2 linked regions of the Lepisosteus oculatus genome follow. The protein of the gene in region 1 purifies or fractionates together with the protein of each later gene. This does not show direct contact. Links are inferred from orthologs where the notes say so. Each region holds a gene or a part of one and is shown in the gene's direction. Other genes may lie near its edges. The genes, in order: mlf1 and dnaJ homolog subfamily B member 6.

Region 1 (10,932 bases):
GTGGTCTTTGCTTATACTGCCACCTCAAGGATAACAAACAGCATGATGTTGGATTACACATTAAATTCATATTTTATGTTTTTATTGTCAAAAATAATATTGTGCTCTTTATCAAACTATTTTAGAGTATATATATATAATATACAATTCTTAAAATGATCTATAGTTATGTGAAATATACAATAATCAGAAATAGCAGGTCAAGAGAATAAAGCAATACATTTATGCAAGGAAAAATATAGGATGGGCTCTGGTGACTCTTGGGGGAAAAAATGAAGAACTGGGAATTGGATTAACCCATTAACCAAGTTTATGATGCCTGTAAAATAATATAGTATGTTTTTAATCTAATACTATATTAATATCGTAGCACAGTATATTATGGTTTTATAATATAACTCACATATAGTACATTATTGTACAATATTAATATATTCATAATCTAAAACACTACTGTTTATTGCTGTTTTTGCACAGGTGGTTGAAACTGTAGAAATCAAGCAAGACCCCGAATCAGTGGACCTGCCCAGGCTGGAAAGTGAGCAGCACGAAGTCAGCAGCATCCCTACATCAATCCGGTACCAGGAGAATGACTCCCTGGCTCATCCCAATGTGAGTAGATGCATCAGATGGGTCTATATTAGGGTTAAATCCACGCATTTAACCTATCAAACTGAAATGAGCAACATACACAGTATACAGCTGTTGAATTATTATTCAGACCCCTGATGAACTGCACCTAAATGTCAATTTAGTGCAAAAATCCAGATGTACATTGATATGTTTGGTACAGACAAATCAAAAAGTAAAAACCTGTTTGCATTTCAATATTGTATGCATATAGAGAATATCTGGGGGGGAAAAAGTTATATTTAGTTTTAAATGCACAATGTTCCAATTTATTCTTTCCCTCTGTATTTTGTGAACCTCCTCTTTGATTTTGATGATGTTGAGGAGGCGTGTCCTGTACTTTTTATAGGTTTTCAAACTTCTCATGAGTCCCTACATATTTCACTACAGTTCTGTGCAGAAGCTTCAAGCTCCTCCACGTTATACAGCCCACAAACTGTATTTGTATCACAGGCTTGGGTAGAGTAGTGCTAAGGGCAAACTGGAAAAGTGCTCATCTTTTACTGAACCCTCTCGATATACAGTACATATGGGTAGATAAACAACACTTTGGCACATGTAAACATTGTTTGCTTTTTAACATTATCTAGTGTAAATAATTAGAGTATCAATGTATTTAAATAATGTGTAAATAAAGTATCTCTTGTCATCTGTAGAATGTTCTTGGATGAAATGCAATGGGCTGTGAGATCACCAGACATTTTCAATAAAGCCAAAGTCATACGAAGCAGAGTGGATGTTTTAATGTTTTAAAATTTAGTTACATGTGATCTATGTGAGCAATATATTAAGGGAGAGGGAGGAGAAGTTTGGATAATAATTAAATAATTTCACTCATGCACTGCAATTTTAATTTTATGGTTTATTTTGTGTTTTTATATGCTATATCCTTTTTATATGTAAAGCACATATACTGAATCTGTGCATGTGTGGCACTTTCTGGTAGCAAAACGTGCTATGTTGTATTCATCATTTCAAATTTGTAAAGTACGCATATTGACAGTTGACATAATATCTTTCAGTTTAGATTTCACCTTTTCCTATAGAAAATAAATAATATGCTTCAAGGTGTTTCTTTGAACCAAAATATACATGTGTGAAATGTTGGAGACCGTAAATTGAATATGTAAAACACAATTATTTTGGCCAAACTATTCATCTATGACTTAGTTCATTCTCAATAAGACTCATTTCTATAAAATGATAAAACATCTTCATATACAGACAAAAGCATTTTAACATGAAACGTATATTTCAAACTTCAAAAGGCAGGTCACGTTCAATAATTGCTAACATGCATTTATTTTAAATGCTGTGTATAAGTATTTCAATATTAAAAGCATTTTTTTAAATATACTTGTGGTTCCTAGTCAGAGCTCTCTCCAGCAGTCATCAGCCACATGATACATTTTACAGCCACTTGACTTATCCAGTGAGAGGTTTAGCACATACAAAAGAGGTAGTACAGAAAGGGTGCAATTGAATTTCTTGATGCATTTTAATTCATAATATACAATATCACTCCCAGACTGTTAGTACAAGGTGGAGGTTTTGAGCTGGAGGTGTTTTAAATCTGCCCTTTAAAATTAGTGTAATCAGTGTTCAATTCTGACAAGAAAATTCTGCCATGTGCCTTCAAATTCTTTTACAGCTCTGTGATTTGAGTATACTGATCTTCCCAATTCCAAGAGCTCAATGCAAGAGCTCCCCAATGCAAATTTAAAATCTGAGAGCTTGAATTCATGGAAAGGCAATAGAAACCTCAGGGAAGTTTCCCACAAGTTTACTGTGATCCTGAAAAATGGTTGTAAGATCCCTGCTGAGTGTATCATTGCTACAAAGGACAGTTTAGAAAAGTGATTAAAACTTGGCCTGCTTATGTATGGGATGCGGGAGGGGAGCAGAACGCCCAGTGGGGGCTTTTGTGGTGAGAACACATGCAAGCTCCACACAGACAAATGCCTGAGGCCAGACTTGGAGCTACGGCATGGGCCCTGGAGCTACGAGGCTGCAACACTAACCACTGAGCCGCTGTGCTCACTTAAAGCTATTGCCTTCAAGTTTGAATGGCATTGCCTCTTGGGAGCTGTGTAATCCTAAACCCTGTATACTGTACTTCTATCAACTGGAGTGCAATTGCTGCCTTTTGAAATGTAGCAATCACTCCCATAGCTTTCATGTAGTCCTGTACAAATGCATCTATGTTTGGTTCTAAACGAACAGCTGTCGATGATGCAGGACATGAACCAGCTGTTCACCATTGCGCTGCTTTAAACCATGTGCACAGTTCACTGCTAATAAATTAATGCAACATTTCATCAATTTTTCGGGTTGTGTTTAAGTTGTTAAATTGCAAGGGAAAGTTCATAGATTGTGATTTTGTTGTGGAATTGCCTATTTAATATCAGCAGGTGTCAGCCACAGTTCAGATTTCTAGTACACAGATGCCTACAGCAGATATTAATGCCTACAGCTAAAGCCGGGCTCGGCAGCTTCTCTGTGGCTGGAGTGTAGCAGTGTCTGTGCTGGAGGATACACAGAAAAAACATTGTATCAAGGCTGGATCCCACTGCATCCTTGAAGGAAGGATGCAAAGGTGCCATTTCCACCTGAATGGATGAGAGAATGTACTGAGAGAAGAGATCAGAGAGATCATTTTATTGGCCATATACAATTTCTTCCATTAGGAATTTGTCTCTTCGCATACCCCAGCTTGCTCTCCATGAGAGACACAGGCACACAGATGTGGGGAGAGAGAACCTTGGGGTCAGAGTGCAGGGTCAGCCATTTATACAGCGCCCCTGGAGCAGCTGGGGTTAAGGGCCTTGCTCAGGGGCCCAATGGAGTAGGATTCCTCTGCCGGCCACGGGATTTGAACCGGCAACCTTCCAGCCACAGGCACAGATCCTTAGCCACAGTGCCTCCGAACCCCCCCTTCCATCTTAACAAATGTTCTGAATGGTTTGTCCGTGGTGCAAGTGTTATTTAAAAAAGTGTCCACTATTGCTAGGAACTGTCCCAGCCTCAGAAAACTCAGTGTAGGTTTCATGCAGTGGAGAACCACAATCCAACAGGTCTTTTCAGTCACCTTAACATCCTCCATGTGTAAAAAGTGGCCAGCTGTATAGCTTTGGAGGGACTAGATGTGGTCATTTTCATCTCACGTAGTCTCTGATCCACTTAGTTGAACTGATCGCCTACTTGAGTGGTTCAGATGAAACTGCATCACGTGTTGAGGAGTTCAGAATGGAAGGGGTGACCCATAAAATGTGCTGGATTGTGGCTCTCCGAGAAAAGTATTGGCCACTGCAGGTCTACCAAGCTGAAGTCTGTCACACTGAAACTGCCACAGTGCTGGAGCAGGGTTTAGCAGCGGTGTTAACTTGAGCTCTTCTCTTTCTCCCCCTCCTGCAGCTGTTCATTGACAAGGCGGAAGCAGAGGAGATGTGGCTCTACAGACTGATGTCCCTTCGCCAGGAGAGGCTGATGGGCAGCCCTGTGCCCTGAACCCTTGATGATACTGTGTTATTGAAACCTGGCAATATTTCCGCGTGCTTTTGAAGTGCAACAGCATTCATTTTCAAGATCCCGAATGCGTTTTCTTAAATTATGTGTATTTTTCTTTTGTATAAGTTCATTTCTCACCTTGTAATTTAGAAATAAAAAATAACACAGAAGGTACCCTTCTTAGATTTTCTTGTGGTGTTTGTGATTATTTTGAAATTACTGAATAAAACTCATTATTGCAAATTGAAATTTAGTTTAAATTACACCCGCAGATCCAAACCCGGGGAATCTAGTTTTTCCAAAACTAAGGTTTTTGTTTTTATGTGCAACATATTAAGAACCAGACTGTCGCTCAGATCCAGAGTGGATCACATTTGTTGAAAATCAAATTTAACTTTGATGTTTGTTTTCTGCACATCATTTCAAGCTTGACTTTTTTTGCCATTTATTAATTTCCATGTCTAGCTTCATTGAACTGGAGGTTGTATTTAAAATGTAAGGTTGTGCAATCTTAGTTTACCTATGATACCAGAATTTTCTAGCATTCTAATACCATATAGGAAAAGATGTGCAGTACAGGACTTCATGACCCAATCCTCTGCCGGATTTTGTCTCAAATTAGCATCCTTTACTTGAACCCCTAATGCAAGTTATATGCATTACACATTTAACACACAGCATTTGTCATTGTTTAAGTTCTGGACTTGAAGTAACTTGAAAACAGTTTTGGAGCATAAAATGATTAAAAAGATCTAATTAGTCATATCATTAATTCCATTTAGGGTTCATTTAAGCCACTGACAGGCCAGCTGGATTGGAAGCTAGCAGACCGTGGGAAACCCTGGAGCATAGCCCTCTGTTGACCAGTTTCTTCTTCACGGCTGAATCAAAATCCCTTTGAAAGTGGATTATAGTCTCATGATTTCTTACCGGCTCTTCGTCTATTAACAGTTAACATTTCTTACAGCTTAGACATTTGCAATACACGTATTAAAGAAATTGGTGCATTCTGAACGAATGTGCCACAGGTGTCCTGAGAGGTGTTCATGTTCAGAAGGGGCAGTTTCTCATAATTCACTCTTTAAACACAGTGCTGACACAGGAACAGCTGGAGGAAATGGTTGAAAGGTACATGCAAGGTAGGAAAGTAGAAATCAGAAAGAAGAGATGGAATTTATTTTCTTAGTTATCATTCCAAACAAATGGGCATGAATGCCAGCAGCAACATCAAACTGCAACTCACAACTGGCAGCCTGCTGAAGCTCAGCAGGTGTGAGCCTGGTCAGTACCTGGAGGGGAGAAAGGCAAGGCTGCTGCTGGAAGAGGTGTTAGTGGAGCCAGTAGGGGGTGCTCACACTGTGGTCTGTGTGAGTCCTATCGACCCGGTCACTAAACTCTAAAAAGGCAACATAAAACTGAGGTCCTGACTCTCAGTGGTCTTTAAAACTCCCAGTGCATTTCCTGAAAGGAGGAGGTGTGTAAACACTGGTGTCATGGCCTCCTAATAATCCCCATCTCTGACCTGGCTTCATCACTCTGTTTTCCTCCCCACTGATAGCTGGTGTGTGGTGAGCATACTGGGGCCCTTTTGCTGGCATTTTGGAGCCTCCAGAGAATTCCAGGTTCTTGCTGTAAGTGGTGGACTGGAATGTAGTTTTCTTCCCAGTTGAGCAACAGTTCTATAGTCTATGGATCAACTTTTTTAAATCCAGTACTCCTGATGGAATAACACTACCTTGTGCAGGAATCAAATACTTATGGTTATGTTAATATTTGCCCACATTCCTTTTTTTTAAACGCACCAAAGTCAGACAGAGAAATTTAGATTGCACCTCAAGTGAGTGTTGATTCTTTGCAAAGATGTAGCAAAAACTTAATTCTTCTCAGTAAATGTAGCAAATTTTACATTTTGCTTACGGTAAAAGTTTGTGATTTGAAGCAAAATGTAGTTGTGCACATACAAGACCTTTATTCAATCGAAAACAAATCACACTTGACGTCTGGCGGGAGAAAAATGCTTGATTTCTAGATTTTGCCATAAGCCTGCGCTGCTATAGCAACGGTCCACAACATTGCCCTTCTATTAAGAGAGCTGCGCGTTTGCAGCGCTCTAGTAAATTCTGAGAATAACTGGCCAATCAGGGGGCCGGAGAGCAGTCACGTGTCTGCGGTTGGCGTCTGCGGTTCTCTGATGTACTCAAGGCTGGTGCGCTCGTCGACCTGAAGCAGCGGATAAGTTTGGCACGCTAATTTAGGTTTAGGTCAGGTCAGTCGTCTGTGTCTTGTGTCTTCGACAGCCCGGATCGGAAATGTTCAACAGCACTCTCAGGGAATTTGAGGAAGATCCATTCTTTGCGTAAGCGACTTTCAGGCTACTGCGACTTTTTTTTAGAGAGAGATTTCATTCTGTAAACGTGTATTGAGGTCTAGTGCCTTATAGAGTACATCAATTAAAAAATTGAAAAAAGGTCATTTTGAGATAAGTATTGTGTATTTGTAACTGCAAAATAATTCTACTCTACTGGCAATGCATAGTTTAAATGCTTCTTACATTTTTGTTGTTAAGGACGAAAAAGCGCAGAATGAAGCAAGACAAGTGCATGCATGCTTATTGAATTATTGGCTTCGTTTAAAGCGAGTTTTTAAGTTTGTTTCTGAAGATAAAAAATCTGTCGTTTTTGTCTTCAATTAAGTAAAACCAGCGCTCCATGCACAAGGTGTCAAGGAGCTGGATTTGCGCTCTACATTTGGGGGAACAAACAGAACAAGTTAAACATTATTGCTGTCGGGCTTCACACGCCGGATTCTTGCAGTATTTTTGGCGTAACTATGCAACATGCTAGGCAAGGCCTTTCAATGACTTGGGAGGGACATGGGGCCCCGGGTTACATCTGAAATAAGATTGCTGATCCCTGCATACTTCCCTCTGAGGATTTGTGTGGGTTTCACGTTCTCTCGAATGGACTTTAAAAAAAATAAATAAAACTAGCTGATATTATTTTTATAAGCGCCCACGTGGCTTTGAACTCATGACAGATTTGTTTAGCGAGTAGTATTGGAATAGTCTGCATCATTTCTAGCAGAACGCTTGCAGTTTTAAAGAATTTCAGTGCCCATGCTCAACCATTAAAGAATCCCCATCAGCTTCAGGCTTTCCACAGTGCACACTCCGCAGTTGCAGTTAAAGGTTGTTTGATTTCAGTGTTTACCTCGAAAATGCACGCAATTATGTATGCCGAAAAGACGCAAGTAGGAAGGAGCACAACTTTTATAAAAGGATAGGGATTTTTTAGGAGATTTTGCCAATGTAGTTTGTTTTAAATCGATATCAAACTTTTTTATTTGACGTGCATTATTTCAGATTAAATTTGACATTTATGCGCAACAGCAATTCTAGATCAATGCCTACAAACACACAGGTTTTGAAATTCAACATGTTTTTTTTAGTGGCTCATTAACATTTTGCCACACTTGTGGGTATTACAGTCAGCCAACACGAATATTGTACAGTACAGTATATCCTTTCACCTGTCCTTTTTTAATTATTGCCTTATCCTTAGATGGTCAGGGCAAACCTCCCTGGTAGGTGCAGGTCTTTAGACGGGACTGGACCATGAACAGGACTCCAGGCCACCACAGAACATACAGAGGCCAAATAGAACTAGAAAACCCACATGAACTAGAAGACAACATGTAGACTTCACACGGACGATCCAGATGTGAACCTAGAACTCTTGATTCACTGCCCCGTAATATATCCGTCATATAATAATATATTACTCCATCTTTTCTTGTGTATGAGATCATGGCATAGTCTTTACATGTTAACATATTCCCCTAAATAAGCACAGTCCAGTTACTAGTATTGTGGCGCACCTCCTCTCTTGAGCAGTGTGATGTAGGATAAGACTCTTATTGAAATCACTCCTTGGGGGAGGGGTGGTCAAGAGATGTGTTTTCACAGCTCGGAATCTGGTTGTTTGAGGGAGTTTTTCTCTACTGGCTAACAACTGCTGCTAGATTGTTAACTTTTCTACTAAATATTGAATACAATGGCAAAAGCTGTGGCACTAGCTGTAGAGATTTATTATTGTTTTGAAATAAAATGCATACAAAATGCATACAAAGTGCATACAGTACATACTTGAGATCTCGTATAATCTTACTTTCTTGATAAACTGCTTCCAAAATGATATGGAGGGATTGCGTCTGAAAAACAGTGACTGTAGTGAGGTGCTTTGTGATGTGGATTTATTTTTGTCCAACCGTCTTAGATATACAGTAAAGAGTAACAAAACAACATGACTGTTTAACTACCGGTGGTATGTACAGTACTTCATTAAAGAATGCCATGTGATTCTTCAAACCCCCTAGTTGAGTCCCTGTTTATTTATTGATTTCTATACTTAGAACATACTTGGATTCCTGTGTTTCTCATGACAAATTATTAACCTTGTGATTGTTGCATTTTAATCAATAAACACTGTCTGAGATATTTATCAACAAGTACGCTACTTGTGATTTTACTTGCCAAGCCCTTTGGTTGTGTTACTATCTTACTGTATAAATAATCACAGTTCTGGAATTTCGCTTTGTGTATTGAAGCTGATTTGTACACTTGATAACAACAGAATAATGTGCTCCAGTTTTATTTCTTTCAGAGTGTTATTTCCCTGCATCAGCCATGCTGCTTAGTAATGCCTTCAGCAAAAGCTTTTATGTATTCAGCTATTTGATCAGTGATTTGTGGAAAGGTTTGCAAAATCAGTCTGAAAAATAGGCTTACATGTTTTTATACTTATACCTCGACTACAATGAAAGAATCATACTTAAAACGGCGTTGTCTTTCTTAAGTGTTCTAGTGAAAGCTGTTTATATAGATTTCAGTAACAGATACTACTAAACATGTAACTAGTGCATAAGTGTTGTGTTATTTATGCACTCATACTTGTTAGATTCTACACGTTCTCATGAATTGGCAGTTACTTTCCCTGGCTCAGTACTGAACGTTTCTCAGACTTGAGGCCACAGGACAAGAAGCTGACTTCCACGCAGTTTCCCAGTCTGCCCAGTTAATTATCTGTACTTAATATCTTATGTAAATGAGTGCCGTGTAGGAGAGTTTAGTAGTAATCACACTTTAGTGCGGCCCTTAAGGGTTTTCATTTTCTAATTTGATCTTAAATGCAGATGTAGACATTACCGTTTTTCTTTTGCCCCTATAGCGATCCATTCCGAGCACACAATGAACATGTGCGGCAGATGATGAGGAGTTTCTCCGAGCCCTTCGGCAGAGACCCTTTCCTGAGTATCGCTGATGGGACAACCGGAAATCAGAGGGGGAACCTGAACGCCAGCATGGCATTAAGAGAGGGACACAGGGTAAGAGCTTCAGTAGCAGCTCAAGTTGTACACACTACGACAGTGCCTCGTTCAGCACGCTCCACGTTTCCTCAAATCCTTTGTCACGTTGTAGGGATTATGTATATCAAATCAAATACTACAGCCTCCTCATAGATGCTCTGAGAGGACTGTAACAGCTACTGTCAGATGTGTGCAGTAGCTCTTACCGACTGATGTGTTGCCCAAAATAAGGTGAAATGGGAACGTCTGAGACTTGTTTTTGTTTCTCAAAACGTGGCTGTTTTTTGTAGGTCGACTGAGGAGTTGTGTCAACATGCGCTGGCTGCAAAGGAAGAAGTAAATGTTAATTTCACCCCGTTAAAAACAGGAGAAATGCAACGTTTCGGCCGTCCTGCCTTCTTCTCACACCTGACACACCAAGAAGGCTCAACAGCCAAAATGTTGTTTCTCCCTTTGATTTTTTCAGTGTGGAATTAAACGTGTTCCTATTTTTATAGAGACTGATTCACATGACACATGACACCTGTGCCTTCATAAACTCCTTATCAAATGTGTCAGGGAGAAATCTGAGAACTCTGGCCGCTAGTAATCTCAAAACGTCCTTTTTGGAGTTACTCAGTAATACATGACACCTGAGCCAGCTCGCATCCCTGGATAATGGTATTGGGTTTATCAATGCATTCTGTTCTCAGTCACAATCTTAATCACATGAATTATGACATTAAAAGGCTTCTTTAGTTTTTTTTTTAAATTAATACCCTAGTAGTAGTTTAATTTGTTTAAAATAAAATGCTTTGGAGAAGACAGAAAACATTTCATCTTCTTATTTTTGCACATTAAAATGTAGCAGTTGAAGAGAGTTCCAAGGCATGCCTATTATGATAAATGTTGATAGTTACTCTTTACAAAAGCTGCCTTGTCCATGTTATAAATGTCAGGCATAATTTACCTCTGTAAAAAGTGTAAATAAAAGTGTATTTGATCTGCCATAGACAGAAAAGTACACATAGGATACAGAAGTATTGTTATTTCAGTATTTTCTTGACTCATTGCCTTCTCTTTACTGTGAAATGTCTAAGGCTTGCACTTTCTCTCTTTTTAAAAGAATGTTACATGAAGCAGAGTTCTTGGGTCACACAAAAAGAAAATAGGACAAGGAGAGTAATTGCTGTACCCTGTAACCTAATAGTAGAAGTGGTTTATAGGCCTTATTGAACACAAAAGTCTGTCATCTAGGGGTCAGAGAAGGTTGCTGCTCAACACCCAGCTCGTCTAAGATCAGAGTTATCTTTAGCTGGATGTATTTATAGAAGCCGAGAGCTGCATTGTTCTGCTGACAGTATTCTTATTAAAATGTTTCTTCCAATTGTTCTTCCATTTTGTTTTCTTCTGTTAAACTAATTTGTTTCCTCATGAATACATACTGTTTTC
Region 2 (10,836 bases), on another chromosome or scaffold:
TGCATTTCTGAGAGCCCTGCTCACAAGAATCATATTGATTTTAACTCCTCTTTGTGCAGAGAACAATTAAGGACACAACCGACTGTACTGTACAATTCTACTATATACCTGTAGCGTTATCTATATGTTAAGAATTTATTAACATACACTTAAAATAGCAACCGTATCTTAAATGTTTGGACAAACATTTCCAGAACGTTATTTTAAGGAAGACGTCCATTCAGCATATTCAGACAAGAATGCTGAATTAATTCTTTCTATACATATTTTGCTCAATTTTTTAACACTTTGCAGAGTTCAAAAATATGGTAAGGACCTTAGAATAGTGATGCAGTAAGTAACTTCAATCTTTCAGTATTGCTGGGTAAATACATAGCTGTTCCCTTGAGTTGGCCCAGTAGTTGAATGTTTTTCATTGAAGGTTTTTTTCAATAAAGAAAATCTGGAATAAAAATAGAGCACTACAGTATCCAGATAAAAATATTGAGATTATATGGGCTCGTTCACCCAGCTGTTTGCAAGAAAACTGTAGGCCGTGAAAGAAATATAAATACGACCTGGAACACCTACAGAAACCCTTAGGGTGGGCAGTGTAGGATGACATAGAGGATGCTGTTGGCAGAAACCTGAAACAGAAACCAAAATGAACTAAAGACTTTATTTCCTTGAAAAAAAACAACTCCTCTTCCCCTGGGCTAAAGTAGCCCTGAAGAAGGCCATACATTATGCACATACAGTAGAGACTATATTATGTATGTACAGAATACTTAGCTCCATGGTGATATGAGGTTCACTCCTGTTTGTTCAAAATGACATAAATCACAATTTTCTGCATCTTGCTTTATTTTGTTAAAAAGGATTAAGGAATTTAATGTGTTATTTTCCAAAGGCAATTATATTTGATATTTCATACAGTATTTTGTGTCATTTGTCATTTGTTTTGGTTTATTTACAGTACATTTTTGCTTGAATATGTATATTTCTTAGTGTCTTGTACAAGGCTGGAAGAAAGTAAGTACATCAGCATGTGTAAGTACCTGACAGGAAGGTAATAAGTACAGTACATGGAACAAACACATCATCATAATGTATTCAACAGAAAACAAATCATATTGTAAACAGAAAAGCTTAAATTAAATTGTATTATCCTCAACAGCTCAGACTATAAATGTTCTAGCTGCAATTCTGAGACCTTGACAGCAGATGGCATTGAGTGATTTGAATGAGCTCCTTGGTTTCATCCTTGTTTATAAAGCAGGTGGTGCTCTTTCGGTGAGTTGTTTGTCTGTCACCTTCTCTAACACTGCTGACACTGTCTCCCTGGTTTTGTAATTTCTAGGCAGAGATGAACCGTGGTACAAGAAATGTAAGTAGTGGGCTGAGTTTTTATCACAGGCCAATTGGAACACAATTAAACATTAAGTGTTTCTAAATTTAGTAATAATAATAATTATTCTTTACACTTATATAGTGCTTTTCTGGGCACTACACTCGTTTTACAGGTAATGAGGACTCCCCTCCACCACCACCGATCTGGGCCAAAACACTCACCACACATCAGCTATCAGTGGGAGTAGAACAGAGTGATGAGGCCAATTCATAGAAGGGGATTATTAGGAGGCTATGATTGATAAAGGCCCATGGGAAATTTGGCCAGGACACAGAGGTTACATCCCTACTCTTTTTGAGAAATGTCCTGGGATTTTTAATGACCACAGAACGTAAGGATCTTGGTTTTACATCTCATCTGAAGGATGGCACCTTTTTACAGTATAGTGTCCTCATCAGGACTCGCACAGACCACAGGGTGAGCGCCCCCTGCTGGCCCCACTAACACCTCCTCCAGCAGAAACCTTACATTTTCCTAGGAAGTCTCCCATCCAGGTACTGACCAGGTTCACACCTGCTTAGCAGTGGGTTACAAGTTGTAAGTTACAGGGTGATATGGCTGCTGGCTGGTAGTAGGGTTTTGCTGTTTCCATGTGTTTCTGAATAGTTGTCTTCAGTTGCTTTCTTAAGCAACACATTTCAATGAAAAATAAGGATGATTCTTTTTCATTTGGACAGTCAATTCAGTTTGGACAGTTGGAATTTACTTATGAATGCCCATGCATTTGTGCTTCAGGGGAGGTTCAATTATTTAAAATAGCCTTGATTGAATTTATGAAAAGATTTGAAATCCTAGCCAAATACATATGGGGGGCAGGGTTACTAAAAATGTAATCTGTCTAAACCAAGCTGCAGTTTATTTCCATTATTTGTCAACAGCATCCCTGGTCTAGTTATTGTTTTTTGAATTCTGTATTCTAGAACCAAGTCTGAGAACAGAAGTGGATTTCAACCCACACTGACATACTTCTTCAATTTCACAAATGGTCTTCTCCACCAAACCTTTTCAAATTTCAAACTTCTGAAGAAAAAATATACAGTCCCTGAAAGTGAAATAATGCCTGTATGGTGGATGATTCAGTTCCTCAAAACTACAGTTGCTAATGGCAGATTGAACCTTACGTGACTTTTGCTCTGTCATGAAGAATAAGGAGACATTTAACCAGGTTGTTCTCAAACTGTTCTGGTGATTGCATTACAGAAATACTTCTTCATCAAATAGCTTTTGGCAGTGAGAAATATTTTCTGTGGCATGAATTCCAGTTGCAGAAGCTGTCAGTGTCACACAAACTGATTGCTGAAAACATTTCTAGAGATGCTGCTTAGATCGCCTTTCTTCTAAGATCTCAGTGGCAGCCTCTCTTTTCATTGCTAATAACAATCCTCAAGGGAAAACAAAAGAAGCTGTCTGTGCCTTTGTGACAGAGGTCTAAGTGTTCATGACAGATTTCATAGGAAGTTTGTATTTGAACTGGTATCAACAATCTTGATAGCTTTGAACATGTGACAATTTTCCTTGTGAAGGATAACATGGGGTCTGACCCAGTTCAGGGTTGCAAAGGAGCCAGAGCCTATCTCAGCAAGCAGTAGTCATAAGGAAGGATGCATCCTAGAAGGACACTAAGCCATTGCAGGGCAGACATATTCACACCTAGGGCGTATTTTCCACCCTTAGTCAATTAACCTACCAATATGCTTCTGGGCTGTGGAATGAAACCACAACATCGGGGGGAAACCCACACAAAAACATGGATAACACACAAACACACAGAAAGTTTTCCACACTGAAAATACCCCAAATCCAGGACCCAGGGCCCCAGAGCTGGGAGGCAGCGATGTAAGGTTGGCAGGGATTGAAAAAGGACAGCAATTTCAAGTCTTGCTACATATGTACTATTAGATTGAAATTGTGACTTTGACTAGGCAACTAGATATTTCGCTTTGCATTTGGACCAAAAATAGCTCCCTTCCTTTTACTCTGCCATGCAGACCAGCTTTGTGGAGAGACTGAGATATTGATTCATGGATAGCTTTCTCCCATCTCAGCCATTGAAGTCTGTTGCTCTTTCAAGGTCAAAACTGGCTTTACGATGACATCCTGAACCATTTTCTTCCTTGCCCACCTGCTTTAACGGTATAGTCTGATCTAGGCAGTGTCTCAGTGATAGGGTTGTTTCTGTTAGGCCTTCATAGTTGAATCTTTACTTCACACTCACTGCCTGACAGAGGAACATTCCAGGGACAGGTGCATTTATTCTGAAATCATAAAGCCACTATAAAGTAGTTTTCAGAAAGAGTAGTATTGCTACCCTGGAGTTCTGACTAAATTCCCCCCCTGGCCTTTACCAGTCATGGCCTCCTAAAACTCCCCATCTATGAATTGGCTTCATCACGGTATTCTCCTCTCCACTGATAGCTGGTGTGTGCTGGAGTGTACTGGTGCAGTTTGGCTGCACTTTGGCTCACATCATCCAGGTGATGCCGCTCATTGGTGGTGGTGGAGGGGAGTCCACATTACCTGTAAAGTGCTTTGAGTGGAGTGTCCAGAAAAGCACTATATAAGAGTAAGAAAATGGGTGAAAAGTCTACCTGTGTTTCTGAGGTCCTCTGACCCCTGGTTCAAAGCCATTCTCTAACATTTTATTAACTACTGCAAATTTGAAGTTCTGTACCATACAATATGTAGTGTTTAGATTTTATTTTTATACTTTAAATATTTTATCATAAAATTCAATTTAACTGGGAATGCATAAAAAACTTTGTTAACTTAATGTATTAATGTTCCTTTGACATCCACTGCTTATTTCCTTATACTGTACAAGCATATCTTGTAAAACTTAAGTTTAAATATCCCCACAACTCATATAGGGACTATGCAGCTGTCAACATTTAAAATCTATTTTGAAAAGGTGTTCCTGTGAGTAAGTCAATTGTATTTCTTTTTAGTTATTCTAATTTAATTGTTTGTGTTTCTTGTGATTTTTTATTTTATAATCTTTTTAAAGTAAATGTACAACATATACAGAAATGCATTAATAATGCTATGCAAGGTAGGAGAACCAATAGTGTCTGTTTGTTTTTTTGAGAGCATTTCTATGGCACTATATCTAAAATCTACAGAAATTAAAACTATTGTGACGGTTTTTAATTCTGGCTCTTAAAGGTTATGCTAATATAAAACTACTCTATTAGAGAATATCCCAGCATAAAGACGTGCATTACGTATTGTGCTATCCATGTTATAAAAGCTTACTATTCCAAAATGTGGTGGAGTTGATAGGTATAGGAGGTTGACATTTACTGAAGTAACATTTTAAGCAAAATAATGTATAAGCAAAATATATAATGTTTATATGAATACTGTGAGTGCTGTATAATATTGCACTGTAAATTGAATATGTTTTTATTCTACAGTATATCTAACACACTATAGCACATGTATTACTGTATTATGAGTATTAGGAGCACAGGAGCTCATCAGGGTTGTGTCTTATCATCTTTGCTTTACTTTCTGTTTACAAATGACTGTATTTCACATTCAGATTCTGTAAAAAATGTTCAAGTTTCCTGATGACGCTACTCCTGTAGGGCTCACCACAAACGATGATGAATCAGTAAACAGGAATGAAATAGCTGAATTAATTGATTGGTGTAGCCTAAACAAACTGGAACAAAATGTCAGCAAAATAAAAGAACTTTAGGCAAAGCAAAAGAGCACTATTCATCACTGGTCAGGCTGTGGACGTGGTGGAGAATTTTAAGTTCCTGGTCAAGAAAGCTCACCAAAGGCTGTTCTTCCTGACACAGCTGAAGAATTCTGGAGTGTCACAAGAAGCAATGACCCTTTTCCACACTGAGAGTGTTTTGAGCTTCTCCCTCACTCCCTCACTGCGTGGTATGGCAACACTTCTGCCCAGGACAAGTCATGTACTGTATATCGCCTCCAAATTTAAAGGATGCCACCTTCCCTCTGCCTCTTGAAATTGAAACACAAAATTCTCTGAATTCTCTGATCTCTAAGATCCTAGCCAACCCTTCCCACTCTGCTCAACCTCTGTATGTGCTCACTGAACCAAATTCCATGCAAGTAGTTGTTATGTCAATAAACTATAAAGTATTAGTATATATGACATACCCATGTTATATAATATATAACGTGTATTCAGTATATAAAACATGGTGTTCCTATGGCATTGATATAGATTAATTCCATGCAAGTAGTTGTTATGTCCATAAACTATAAAGTATTAGTATATATGACATACCCATGTTATATAAGTATATAACGTGTATTCAGTATATAATACATGGTATTCCTATGGCATCGATATAGATTAATTCTACAATTTACAATCCACAATCCTTTGATAAGAAAAACAATCTACAAATGCAAGAATCAACCTGTGTGGTTATTAAGCACAGAACTATAGTACTACACAACATATTACAGAACGTGACTGTAATAGTGTAGGCCTTGTAGTAACGTACTGTAGTGAGCACTATAGTAAATTGTATAGTACTACACTAGTGTATCACAATACTATACTGTTGTGCTGTAATACACACAAATTGCAATATGCTATACTTTTTACGTAAGAAACACACAAATTAAAGCACACGTATAAAGGGTAATTCTTCTATACTCTTAATCCAAAAATCTCAAAATGCCTCACAAATACCACAGGTAAGAACATCAGTACACGTCCGTCCTATTTTGATTACTACAGAACATTCTGGAAATGGTTTTATGTGGGTAGCGCGTTTGTATTTTGTGTATGAAGGGATCTGGCAAAATAAATATTATTAACCACAACATTAAAGACGACAAAGCAGACGCCGGTTCACGTCAACCACAAATTTCCAGAACATTTCAAAGATAAATTCCCCTCCTCCCCCCATTAGAGTTTGCGGCTTTGGCTGTAGCAGGAAGTGACGTTACAAGTGCCGAGGAACAAGCAGGGGCACCAGAAGTTGCTCTTGTGCGGCGCCTTTAGAGTACAAAACGTACACTATACAGTATAAAACAACAGCAACAAAAGGGAGGTCTTGGTAGCCGAACGGGGAGGTGAGTCTGTGTCTGATGTTGTCCTGACCGCCGACGGTTGCGTTTGTGCGTAGTGAGTGCACGTCGTGGAGGATGGCGAAGGGAGAGTGCAAATACTGCGTGCTCTGAATACATTTGCCGAGCTGGTTAAGATGTGATCCAGAGAAATATATGCCCGTGCGTGTCGCAGCGATATCGGGGGAGGGTTGTTCATCCGGGGGGGTCGGTCCCCGGAGTCTGTATGACTAGAACCCCGAAAGCGTGAAAACGGCAGAGATTGGCGGGGGGGGGAGGATCTTTTGTCCTCCAGGATAGTGGTGAGGAAAGTGTCCCCCTCAAAACACGGGGTCTCCCCTGATTACGAGGATGGTGGGTTCGTAGACACTCTCTCTCTCTCCCTCCCCCCGCCGCCCCGGTTCTGCTGTGAAGTATTTCATGATTGAAGAGTCGCGTCGTCCCTTAATTGCTCTTAGATGCGAGTATTGGATTTAGTACGTGCGTGAGCTGGGAACCCCATTTCGAGCAAAACACCTCTCAAAGAGAAACCTCGCAGCACGGACCGCACTGGGTGAACCCAGGTCCGGGTCGACCCGGGGTGACTGTGTTTTTGGTGTCGCTGCCCCTCACCGCGGCCAGTGACCAACGCCAGTACCTGCTGCTCTCTGTGAGCAATGTTATCGCTGTTGACAGGGCCGCTCTTAGGATGTCGGCGGGGCATAAAGGCAAAACTGGACGTAACCAGTGTTTTTGTTTTGCGAGGCAAGCGGTGTCGGGAGGTACTACACGGCTTGGGCCCGCCTGCGGTTGGCTTTGTACACCGGTGTTTTCAATCCGCACCGAAGACCGAGGCGTGTCTGGATGAGTGTGGGGACGTCCCCACTAAAGACCCCCCCTGTCCACACCGGCAGGCGCCGAGAACCGTGTATCCCTGTCGCCCTGGTCCCTGGACTGGATTAGCCGGTTCAAATGAAGGTAGTCTTGCCCCTGCGTCCATGGGGCACTTTCTCCTTCCCTCTCCTCAGAGTACACGTGAGGCTGGCTGTAGTTTACAGTCTGTGACTTATAATAATAATAATAATAATAATAATTGGTTACACTTATATAGCGCTTTTCTGGACACTCCACTCAAAACGCTTCACAGGTAATGGGGACTCCCCTCCACCACCACCAATGAGTGGCATCCACCTGAACTTTTCGTGATGGGCTGATTTGTTAAATGCTGAGACACGGCCCTCGGTTTGTGGCTCTTCTTTTCAGTTCCCTCTTTGGCTTTAGGGCTGTTGTTATTTTCGATTTGTAAACATTTCCTTTGCTGACGCCGGGAGAGCTTTCCGTGCGAATCCGGGGCGAGGAAGAGTTACTTCTGCCCTTTTGAAAAATGTGTGTGCCGGTCTAGTTTTGACACCGCGTGTGAAATTAGGTAAAACTGCTGCTGAGCTGTCACTATTTGGACTTTTCTACAGTAAAAAAAAAAAACCTGAATAGCTGTAGGGGACATTTGTGTTGATTTAAGCAAATTTCAAGATTTTCATAACGTCTGCTCGTGTATTAGCATGAGGGAGTACGCTTTAGTGAGCTGCGGTTGACACCAGAATACATTCCCGGTTGTGGATGTCCTCTTAATCCACTTAATACCCTGTGCATGTGGCACAGAAAAGCCATTGCTACAGTGCTTTAAATGTGTTACTTTTCAACAGGTTTGCACTCAATCTATGGATTCATTTCTAAAGTCCCCTCTGTGCTTTATTAGGAAAGAGCTGCTGTTACTGGTGCCTATATTACACACACAGCCATGAGACCCAGCGATACAGTTTCTTAGCAAATGGTATATTTCTGTTCAAGCCATTTGAAAAGTGTTGCTTCTGAGATCTGTGTTTGGTTTCTGGAGCAAGCACTTCAAAGTGTATTGAATGTCTTTAACATAGACACTTAGATAGTTTGCTGGCTACGTATGAAGTAGCTGGCTTGCCAGTATCTTTGAGAGGTAGTTTTGGTTGTGTAAAGATAGGTTGTCTTGCACCAGTTCTAAAGATGGTGGTAAAGTTGCAAACGCTAATCCTATCCCGCTTTTAACATAAAATCATACAGTGTGATGGATTGTGAGAGAAGGACCTTCCATCAAGACTTTCGGTTTCAGGGGAGTAAGGCTATAGTCTAAAAGTCAGCGTATTGACCTGCATGATGCTCTCTTGTTTGCGTAATTCAGGACTGTTGGAGATGAGGCCTTTGTATCTGTGTGTTGGGCCAGCTGCCTTCATGAAATGATAAAGCGCACCGTGATTAATGGAGTGGTCACATGAGGAAATAAACCAGATCTGCTCTTTCCTTGTCTGGAAGATAAGAGGATTGTGAACCCAGAAACTTTTATTTTATTTGGTCATTAATTATATATAATTTATAAAATGTCATGACGTATTTAACCTTTTTCCCTGTGTTTAAGGCTACCTTTTAGAGGCATTACTTAATTTCTTAACTATAAACAAGCTGAAAAAAATGTTGGAGAAACAGCAGAAATGGACTTAAGAAGTATAATTCTGAGATTGCACATTTGTTGAATAAACAGAAATGTAATTTAGACAAGGTATGTGATCTGTTTGCACTGAACTGTCATTTACATCACATTAACTAATTGGACTTCTGTCAGTGATGTACAGACTTTCTGTCCTGACGCAAGATCTTGAGACTTGCATCCCAGTTAAATAAAACAGCAGCAGCAGTTTTAGGGATGGGAATCCCTTTGGTTCAGGGGCATCTGTTTTGATGTCACAATCCATGCGTTGTGATCGAGGGATTATGTGTTGGACATGTTACACAAGTGGTTGGTGGACATTAGCGTGGGCTACTGCTTATCTGTACTGTTGTATCGTTGTCTGGACACTGTGAGTTGGAAGCAGATAAGCGAGTGAGCCCTGAAGTACAGAACTGACCTTGCTTATCTGTCTTGCTAACATGAGGGGGGGCTGGACTTGTACAGGCGTCCCCCGTTTTATGGGAAGGTTACATTCCACGAAAACCTCGCATCAGCGGTACCTTAACCCTGCAGGGGGGAAAAAGGGGTTGTGTGGAACGGTGTTAAATGTAGTGTTCCAAATGCATTTGGATCATACAAATACATGCTGACATACATTAGGAATTAAAACTAAACTTAACGTAAATGTTATTTGACACATTATTCTAACTAAAAATAAATCAATGCTCGCCAAAATAGGCAGACCGTAAGGCTCAGGGGACCGAGATGTGGGTGCTGATTTTGACTCCAAAATAACAGCAGCAGCTATAGCAGGAACAGATGGAAATGGCAAACGCGCCGCATAAGTAGCTCAGACCCGCAAACCGCGGTGGCGAGTGCGTGACTGAAAGAGGAGCGACTCGTTGGGCAGGCTTTGGCGGGAAGAAGCAGGTCTATAGCTTGTTTCGCGGGAATTTGCTCTACCGCCACAGATCCCGTAAAAATGAATTTTTTTTTGCATTAAGGGGGTCAGTCGCGTAAAAGCGCATTCGCATAGACGGAAGCCGCAAAAAGCGGGGGACGCCTGTGTTTGCTTAACATTGCAGCGGTCTAGCCATTGTCCACCCATCCATTTTCTCACTATTTCTCCCACCTCAGTGTTGAGGGGGAGAAGGAGCTGACCCAAGCAAGTAATGGGTGCAAGGCAAGGTACACTTAGACTGGGACACAGGGCAGACGCACAGACACAGTCTCACACCTAGAGAACATCTGTCAGTTTTCCAAGCAGATAATGTCCTAGGGCAGGAATTGAACTGAGGCAGTAATGCTATCCACTGCACCCCTGTGCTCTGGTTTCCTCCCCCAGTCCATCAACATACTGGTAGATTAATTACTTCACTTGCCGCCCTGTCCAGCTGTTCACTCTCCCTGCCATCTTTCGTTATTCATCTATTAGCATGAACCTGGTCCTGGAGTCAGTGCTCACTGCAAATATTATAGCCACCTTAACACATCCATGCCTGCAAATCGTGAGGAAAGATTATGCTTTTGCTCAACCTACTCTGTCACTATTATAATTATTGCAAGGTCTAAGTGATAATCGGTTTGGCAAAAATTGTGGGTTGAAAAGCATTGAAACCCCAACTTGCAGTGCGGTGGCGTTGGGGTGCCACACAAGCCCTTGGATTATTCACTGGTTGAGTTTGAAAGGAAAGACATTATTCTGATTGTGGCGCTCAAAGTACAAAAGTAGTGCAAAACGTGCGTGTGGATGCTCATTCTCAAAACCCAGGATTGATTTAGGCTGCACTTCACATCCCATTTCAGGGCTGCCAGCTGAGTTGCTAATTGTATGATTGCCCAGTCACAGATCAGCCTTGTGCCTGAATCCTCCTGCCAGTCCGTTAGCCAATTTATCAGCCCAAGTGAATCAGCTCTCAGAACGAAGTAATTA

What was found.
Region 2: the proteins of mlf1 (region 1) and dnaJ homolog subfamily B member 6 purify together in Homo sapiens (affinity purification with mass spectrometry; 3 studies listed by BioGRID and IntAct, counting the BioPlex papers as one, with this or other methods). This does not show direct contact. The link is inferred for Lepisosteus oculatus from reciprocal best matches to the Homo sapiens genes MLF1 and DNAJB6.

Annotation. Positions count from the first base shown.
Region 1 is NC_090708.1:6,457,607-6,468,538, reverse strand, and holds the start of mlf1 (myeloid leukemia factor 1), read left to right. Parts: upstream 1-6,298; 5' UTR 6,299-6,446; coding exon 6,447-6,493; intron 6,494-9,362; coding exon 9,363-9,519; intron 9,520-10,932. Other genes in the region: rsrc1 (serine/Arginine-related protein 53), read left to right, coding at 478-612, 4,045-4,137. UniProt on the Homo sapiens protein: Involved in lineage commitment of primary hemopoietic progenitors by restricting erythroid formation and enhancing myeloid formation.
Region 2 is NC_090701.1:12,327,724-12,338,559, forward strand, and holds the start of dnaJ homolog subfamily B member 6, read left to right. Parts: upstream 1-6,308; 5' UTR 6,309-6,454; intron 6,455-10,836. UniProt on the Homo sapiens protein: Has a stimulatory effect on the ATPase activity of HSP70 in a dose-dependent and time-dependent manner and hence acts as a co-chaperone of HSP70. Plays an indispensable role in the organization of KRT8/KRT18 filaments.